Saccharomyces cerevisiae S288C: one gene and its partner. The protein of the gene in region 2 binds, or shares a complex with, the protein of the main gene of each other region. Each region holds a gene or a part of one and is shown on either strand. Other genes may lie near its edges. A codon is read from its position in the direction of its gene.

The links.
Region 1: the proteins of PCL10 (region 2) and PHO85 are in contact, whole or in part, in a crystal structure (PDB 4KRD), measured with the Saccharomyces cerevisiae proteins. Residues at the interface, in NP_011381.1 of Saccharomyces cerevisiae: Val257 (codon at 1,137), Glu296 (codon at 1,020), Glu322 (codon at 942), Gln324 (codon at 936), Thr326 (codon at 930), Leu369 (codon at 801), Lys372 (codon at 792), Leu373 (codon at 789), Leu374 (codon at 786), Glu375 (codon at 783), Asp376 (codon at 780), Phe377 (codon at 777), His381 (codon at 765), Lys392 (codon at 732), Arg393 (codon at 729), Thr396 (codon at 720), Glu399 (codon at 711), Val400 (codon at 708), Leu403 (codon at 699), Ile404 (codon at 696), Cys407 (codon at 687), Asn408 (codon at 684), Thr409 (codon at 681), Lys410 (codon at 678), Leu411 (codon at 675), Met412 (codon at 672), Val413 (codon at 669), Ser414 (codon at 666), Asn415 (codon at 663), Lys417 (codon at 657); in NP_015294.1 of Saccharomyces cerevisiae: Leu40 (codon at 1,626), Asp41 (codon at 1,623), Ser42 (codon at 1,620), Glu43 (codon at 1,617), Glu44 (codon at 1,614), Gly45 (codon at 1,611), Thr46 (codon at 1,608), Ser48 (codon at 1,602), Ile51 (codon at 1,593), Arg52 (codon at 1,590), Ile54 (codon at 1,584), Ser55 (codon at 1,581), Leu56 (codon at 1,578), Met57 (codon at 1,575), Lys58 (codon at 1,572), Glu59 (codon at 1,569), Leu60 (codon at 1,566), Val71 (codon at 1,533), His73 (codon at 1,527), Leu78 (codon at 1,512), Asn127 (codon at 1,365), Lys128 (codon at 1,362), Ile129 (codon at 1,359), Arg132 (codon at 1,350), Arg156 (codon at 1,278), Ala157 (codon at 1,275), Gly159 (codon at 1,269), Ile160 (codon at 1,266), Pro161 (codon at 1,263), Val162 (codon at 1,260).

What each region holds. Positions count from the first base shown.
Region 1 is NC_001148.4:491,193-494,825, forward strand, and holds PHO85 (cyclin-dependent serine/threonine-protein kinase PHO85), read right to left. Parts: upstream 1,846-3,633; coding exon 1,829-1,845; intron 1,727-1,828; coding exon 826-1,726; downstream 1-825. Other genes in the region: SVL3 (Svl3p), read right to left, coding at 1-172; TRM44 (tRNA (uracil) methyltransferase), read left to right, coding at 2,351-3,633.
Region 2 is NC_001139.9:253,622-257,567, reverse strand, and holds PCL10 (Pcl10p), read right to left. Parts: upstream 1,906-3,946; coding exon 604-1,905; downstream 1-603. Other genes in the region: 60S ribosomal protein uL1 RPL1B, read right to left, coding at 2,274-2,927; MRM2 (21S rRNA (uridine2791-2'-O) methyltransferase), read left to right, coding at 3,709-3,946. UniProt on the Saccharomyces cerevisiae protein: Cyclin partner of the cyclin-dependent kinase (CDK) PHO85. Together with cyclin PCL8, negatively controls glycogen accumulation under favorable growth conditions.

The DNA of each region.
Region 1 (3,633 bases), on a different chromosome or scaffold from region 2:
CCAATTCGAACCGGTCTTTGCCGTAGTATTCAGTTTCAATTTCAAATTGACATGATTTTGAATCGTTGACGTGGTAGAGGTCTATATTCTTGGCCAGTTGAAACCTTGAGGTGTAGAACAAGATATTCGGGTTGTTCCCAATAGCTAAAACTCGAAGTGAGGAAGACGACATAACTATAACGTGTGTGAGGGCGAGCAAAGCAATTAAACGAAATTGATCTTATTGGTGAGCGTCAGACTGCTGGAGTTGTGTGTTATAAAATGAAAGAAAAAAAAAAGGAAGTAAAACCAGGGAACGAACCGATAACTATTTCTCCCCTTTCTGTTTGTTCTTGGTTTTGCTTGCTTTGTTCTGATCAAGACCAAAAATAGCTGGGTGGCTACGAATAAGAAGGCCAAGATTAGAAGTGTGTTACTCTCACTAATTGACTGTTTAAAAATAAATAAACAAACAGGTTCAAAGAAACGAGAATAAACAAACAACGAACGCCAACGGAAAGAACCGACGTTGTGTTTGCGTTTACGTTCTGCTCTCTCACTTGACACAACACGAAGACCGAAAACAGCTTGGGAAGCATTCACCGATCGTTATTCGAGAGGTTTCCAGTTTCCTTTTTTTTTTTTTTCACTCGCGGTATAAACGAATGAAAAAAAATAAAAAATTTTCATGTTTTTCCGTTCCGGAAGACAAAGCCTGTCCGCCTTTAAGGCGGTAAAAGCCGTCGTAAAGGCTGTCGTAAGATGAGACTAAAGTAATAGTAGTGTATTATAGATGATTATTATCATTATATATACATGGCTACGGTTTTTCGCTGACGGGCTGCGTTATGAAGCGTGGTGGTAGTACTCTGCAAACCAAGGGTGATGCAGAGCCTGCTTGGCGCTCAGCCTCATATCCGGATTAAGTTGCAAGAGTCCGTGTAAGAAATCCATGAGATTCCCGTCTAGCGGTTCTTTGGTGTGTGGTTGCAATACTTGACGTAGGTCTCTTGGTGGTCGTTGCTGGATATTTGGGTTGTATTTGGGTAACTTTGTTACACTGGGCCATAGGGACTCATTAGGAGTGCCCATGATGTCGAAGATCAATTTCAGTTGTTCTTCGTCGTTGGTGCCAGGAAACAAAGGCTTACCCGTTATCATTTCCGCAAGAATGCACCCACACGACCATATATCAATGGATGTGGAGTACGTCCTAGAACCCATTAGCACATCAGGAGCACGGTACCACAACGTTACGACTTCGCTTGAAAATGTGTTGACCGGAATACCGAAAGCACGGGCCAGACCGAAATCACCCAATTTCAACTGGCCTCTCTTGTTGATTAATAGGTTTTGAGGTTTTAAATCACGGTGGAGAATCTTGTTTTCATGGCAAAAGGCCAGCCCTTGCAGTAGTTGCCACTGGAAGTATTTAACCAAGTTTAGTTCTAGCCCTCTTGGTGTGTTGCCCACGGTGCGGGAATCCATGTATTTCTTTAAATCGTTGTCCATGAATTCAAAAACCAAAGTCAACTTGTTCTCTGTGTGAATAACGTCATAAAGTCTAACAATGTTCTCATGTTTCAATTCTTTCATTAGGGAGATCTCACGGATGGCCGTAGAGGGTGTACCTTCCTCTGAATCCAGTTTTACCTCTTTCAGGGCAACATATACCCCTGTGGTTTTGTTCAGTCCCTTGTACACTGTGGCATACGTACCATTGCCAAGCTTTTCTAACTGCTTAAATCTGTTCATAGAGCTCGAGGTTGATTTTTTCTCGTATATATGTTAGTATTCATCATTTCTAGTTCTTTACTTTCCAATGATACTTGACTAGAAAACTACATACTGTGAAGAAGAAGACATTGGTATTGCTCAAGTTTGCCCAGTTTGCCGCGCTATATATCCCTTATCTGCAATTATACGCTATATGGTAAAACTGGATTCCCTTTGTTATCTTTCAATTAGAAAGCTACGGGCTTACGAGTCTACGTGTATGGTGATTTGTACGGAAAATGAACTGCACACAGAGGACAAGCAAAGGGTCTAGGATAGATAGAAGTAGCGCATCCGGCCTGTCTATCCCTCCGTGTCTATCAATTCATTTAACGTGTCTGGACGGACTATGGTAACTACTTTTTGCGTTTTTGCACCTTCTTCCTGTTTTTTTGGTTTTAGTAGTGCACTTATTCTTCACTTTTTTGCTCTGCATTGTTAAAAATTTCATTTTTTGCATTTTGGAAAACCCGATGACATTATTCTTTGAAATAAACCATATCATTTAGAAAATGCGATTTCCATTACGCAAGATAGACAACGCATTTGGTCCGATTATATTGCTATCTTGTGATACTTCTCCTTTCTCTCAACAATGACTGGCGACGGTAGTGCACATATTTCTAAAAACAATCAAAATCAACACAAAGATCGCTTCAAGTTTATTGTGAATGATAAAAGTATTCTAGGACCTCAATGGTTAAGCCTTTACCAAACGGATGGGAAAGTAACATTCGCAAAGTCCCACTTCGAGCAAGCAATGATGAACGTTATTAGAGAACCAAATATTAACTCTACTGTCATATTAAGAGCGGATATTTTGAAAGAGATCAATCATGCTGCAGAAGCTGGGTCTGAGCCAAAATTTGACGAGTCCGTATTAAAAAAGTTTGAGATCGATAATGGTAATGAAAGCGGTGAAGAAGATGTCAAGAAGATAAATATTGAAGATTTAAACATAAGGTCGTGTGAAACATCTGAGAGTTTAAAATTGTCACCCGTTCATGAATTTGTAAGAAGGATCATTCCTAGGAATTTTTACAAAGATGCTATCATAAACCAAACATGTTTAATCCTAAATAGCAAAGACCCTAATTTTCAGGAGACCTCATTGATTGTATATACGCCGCACATTAACTCTGAGAAAGACTGTCCGTTTTATATTCCAAGAACGCAAAGTGTAGGCATTTTGTTACACCAGTCAGTTCTTTCTGTACACTACATTCCCTTCCCCGAGGATAAAACTGCCTTTACAGATGAATCTGAGCGTGTTGTAAGAACCGCTTATAGGTTATTACAAACTGCTAACAAACACTCAAAGGGTGTGATGCAGGGTTATGAAAAGAGGGTCAATCACGATCAAGTGGTAAATAAAGTCAATTTTCAGAACACATACATTGTTTTGAAGAAAAAATACTCCAAGTTCCTGGTGGAGAATTGGGCAGAGTCTACAGACCCAAAAAAACATGTTTTTGAAGACATAGCCATTGCCGCTTTCCTGATTGAATTATGGATTAAAGTGTACGGTCCAGACTTCCGTTCAAAAATGCAATTTAGAGATTTGGGATGCGGCAATGGTGCTCTTTGTTATATTTTACTGAGTGAAAGTATTAAAGGTCTCGGCATAGATGCAAGGAAGCGCAAATCGTGGTCTATCTACCCGCCTGAAGTGCAATCATCGTTAAAGGAGCAAGTTATAATACCTTCTATCCTTTTAAGACCCCATCCTGCTTTGAAAAGACAAGTACCTCATTTGGAACACAATGGGAGATTTTTCCCAGTCAAGGTGACGCACGAAGTGATTGCCCCCGCAACCGTCGTGTATTCAAGTGAGGACTTACTAAAATCTCCGCAGGTCAATACAGCAGAGTTCCCACC
Region 2 (3,946 bases):
GTCAGTTGAATTGTTTACAGCCTTTTAAATAGTTATGTATTTAACCCAATATATGTTTTTCTGAATTTTTTCAGGAGAAATACAAAGAAAAGAAGAAGAGCAAGAAAGAGGATTTTTCTGATCGGTATTATCCTTTTTATTTTTTTTCTATTTCTACACTTTTTTTCCTCTATAATTTTCCTTTATTATTTTTCATTTCGGGTTTTCTCACCACGTTAAAAATGGATAATAAACTTAAAAGAAATAAAACCATGAAATATTTCTATTTTAAGGTTAGACAATACAGAAGGGACAGAGAAAGATGTGTAGGCAAATATACATTTGTTTGAACCATAGATTCAACAGTAATTTAATGCGAGTAAAAAAATCACATTTTTATGTGCGTTTCGAGAGCATCAATTAAGAATCCGGGATAACTGTTGGGAAGCTCTGAAGTTTTCTCCAATATCGAGTACAGGTTTCCACCATTGCACGGAAATATAAACAGACTAAGTTTGTCGTTGTTTTATTGAGAAATTGTTTGTATCATATTACCAGTGCCGCTATTGACTGGAAAGCATTCGTTACGTTCGTTAAAATAATTATCTAAAATACTTGTATCAACTATACACAGAAGGACCGTAGTTCATTCAAAAGTAATTTGGAGGCGGCTAATTTCCTGTTACTGACCATTAATTTAGTATTGCACACACAGATCAATAGACTGACTTCTAATTTAGTCAAAAGCCGTTTCGAAATACCGCATACTTTACTAAAATATTCATGTGAGTGAACGAAATCTTCCAATAATTTCGTGCTCAATCTAACCGCTGCTATTATCATTCGATGGACCTCCTTTTCCTGTAAGTTTAACTTCAACTGCAAAATGTTATTGCCATCCCTTGTTAAAAACAACGTGTCAATTAAAAATGTTGCCACAAGGTAAACAGTTGGCTGGTACTCACATTTGTCTTGGATTCTCTTGAGAAAATCTGCTGATGATAAGGTGGGTTTACTTTTCATGTAGAAATTCGAGTATTCTTTTTTCTCCACTCTAGTATTGAAACCGGTACACTTTCTATTGCCACTAAGTTTTAGTAGTAGTTCTATGGTTTCCTTGAAATTCGCCAGAGCTTCATCAACCGATATGTGGGGCACTTCTACATCAACCGGTATGCCATGTAGCAACGGGTTTTCACTTTCGGACTTAGTTTTTTCTTGATCTTCTTCTTCATCGTGTGGTAGACTGATATGCAACCCTCCCATATCAAAGCTTGTAATGCTGCTACATTCAGAAAAAATGGAGTCATCAATATCTTGCTCCTCCACATCCGTAGCATCGCCAATTTCGAAACTGGCAGTTGGAGATTTGAAGAGTGGTGATCTACGGCGAGGTATGCTTAGCCCGTTTTGTTGATGGAAAAGATCTTTATCAAAAATAGAACTTGTGCAACCCGTGGTATCCTCTAGCTCATCATCACTTAGTTCAAAATTGGACGTTGAGCTAAAATTAGTGCCATTAATACACGCGCTCGAATCATCACCCATGGAACTATATAATCCTTTCCCTCCATTCAATAGCCCCACCTGAAAATTGTTTATGTTCTCTATATTCTGCGCCAAATAATTATTCATTTCATTAGCGGATTCCAACAGTTGCTCTACATGTATTCTATTTTTTGAACTATCTGTTGTACCGCATGGCTGTGCTTTCTCAGTCTTGCCTTCTGCAAGACCAGGCGTATTTGATCTAGACTGGTCCCATTCACTTGTTAAATCTGAGAAATTCTCACTCTGTAAAAACTTTGGTTTCAAAGGTAATTCGAACGAAGCGTTATAATCGTCCACAATTCCCAAACTGACTGGACGTATATCACCATCATCAAACTCCTCTGTGTCAGTGGTGTGGTTTTTAGTCATGTCCATTTTGCAAGTAATCTATTTGCGCATGGAATACCTATATTATGCGAGTCGAAGATTATATAATAGCAGGTATGGTTGAACTGATTGAACACCAAAGCATATCGATCTGTGAAATTCACTCAACATGCTTTTAAAGTAAGGCAAGTTCTAAGTGATTTCCTACAAAACATCGCTGAGAAAGGAAAGAAAAATGGCATGATATGGAGTAAGAATCGGATCGGTGCAATATACTCCGAGCTTCCCGAAAAGATATATTCCGGGCCCAAAAATATCTGGCTAAAACTATGCATAATACTTTTACTACTTAGAGTCATACGTATTAAAAAAGGTATTTAAAAAGATGGAGATATGTATTAATCGCTCGGAAGTGATTAGTACAATCTGAAAGCTGGACCCATGGAGGACTTAACAACCAAGGAACCAACATTTTGCCAGTTCTTCTTCAACAAAGAAACAAAGAAGTTAACAGACATCAAGATTTGGTTAACCAAAACGTCTTCTTCCATTTCAACGTTACCAACGGCAACAGCCAAACACAAGACCTTCTTCAATTGGAACTTGATGGTAGATCTGACATCAGTGACCTTACCGTACAAGTCATCGTTGTGAGAAACTGGGGTTGGGAACTTACCAGCCTTGGACAATTGAGGACCCAATAGTCTTGGAACTTGCTTGATCAAAACTTCGGAAGCAATGAAAGCGTTGTACTTCTTAGACAACTTCTTGATTAACTTCTTGTTCTTGTTCAACTTCTTCAAGTCATCGACGGACATAGCGTCAACACCGCAAGACTTAGCTCTGTCAACATCGAAAGCATCACCGAAGATACAGATGGACATGTTTGGTCTTGGACAGTTTGGCAACTTCAAAGAACCAGAGAAACGCTTGTCTCTTTGAGGGTCATAGTTCTTCAAACCGACTTGTAGTTCGACGGTTTCCAAGAAGTTTCTCTTCTTGGTTTCGTTGGAATACTTCAACAATTCCTTGACGTGTTCTCTGACTTGAGAAGAGGTGATCTTAGACATTTTATGATATGTAATTAGTCTTCCAAAGTATTTGGTGGTCCGTGAGGCTTGCGACTAGTTCTATGGAGTCTTTCCTGAAACTTCAAGAGGTTACCAAATAACGTAATGCTCAAGAAGTGCTGCGAAGATGTACTTACATATCTTAATCCAAATACAACACTCTTCCCATTGATTGCGTCTTTCTTCCTCGGACTTTCCAATCTGAGGCCAAAAGATGTCTATGGCATTATTGTGTGCGAAAAAAAAGTTTCAGGAAAAAAAAACTTTAAATATTTGAGGTTGCACCCGTGCATATTGAAAGATGTATGGGTTCAAAAATGTCCGTATTCAACTTTTGCCAAAAGCTGATAGCTGTTTGGCCTTATGAGGTAAGGTTTATGAACGCAGTCTTCTTCATTGCGATCTAAAAGTTGATATGTTAATGGAGATAATGGTAGAGTAAACTGAATTTTTTACAGTCCCCTTTCTTGAAATTAAGCAAGTTATTTAGCTAACTTACATACCATCTTCATGTATCGTTTTTGATTTTTCAGTTCTTTTTTAAAAAAGAAGATCAAGTAATTTGTTCTAATCAAAGAAGAAGGTTCAATACCGTTTCTCTGGTATTTGTAAGATCTCTTTTACTGGCGTTCTTTTAAAAATGATCAGGTCCGGTTAAAGGGCGTCTCCGTCAATGAGAGAAAAATGTCAGCCTCTGATATAGATGGAAGTCGTAGCCATCAAGATGGGCTTATCCGAGGTTTGAAGTAATGACTACACATACTGACGGGAAAATTACAGCATGATTTTAGTGTACAATCGTATCAGGAGTATAATATCGTCTTCTTTAGGTCGAATACATGTACGGTATAATTCTAACTCACAAAACAGATGGCTGAATAGACAACTGAAGGATCCCTACACAAAAGAGGCCAAGGTCCAAAATCTGAGGTCTAGAGCCGCATTCAAGCTTATGCAGATTGATGATAAATATCGGCTTTTTAGCAAAAACAGGACCGATCAGAGAATTCTAGATCTTG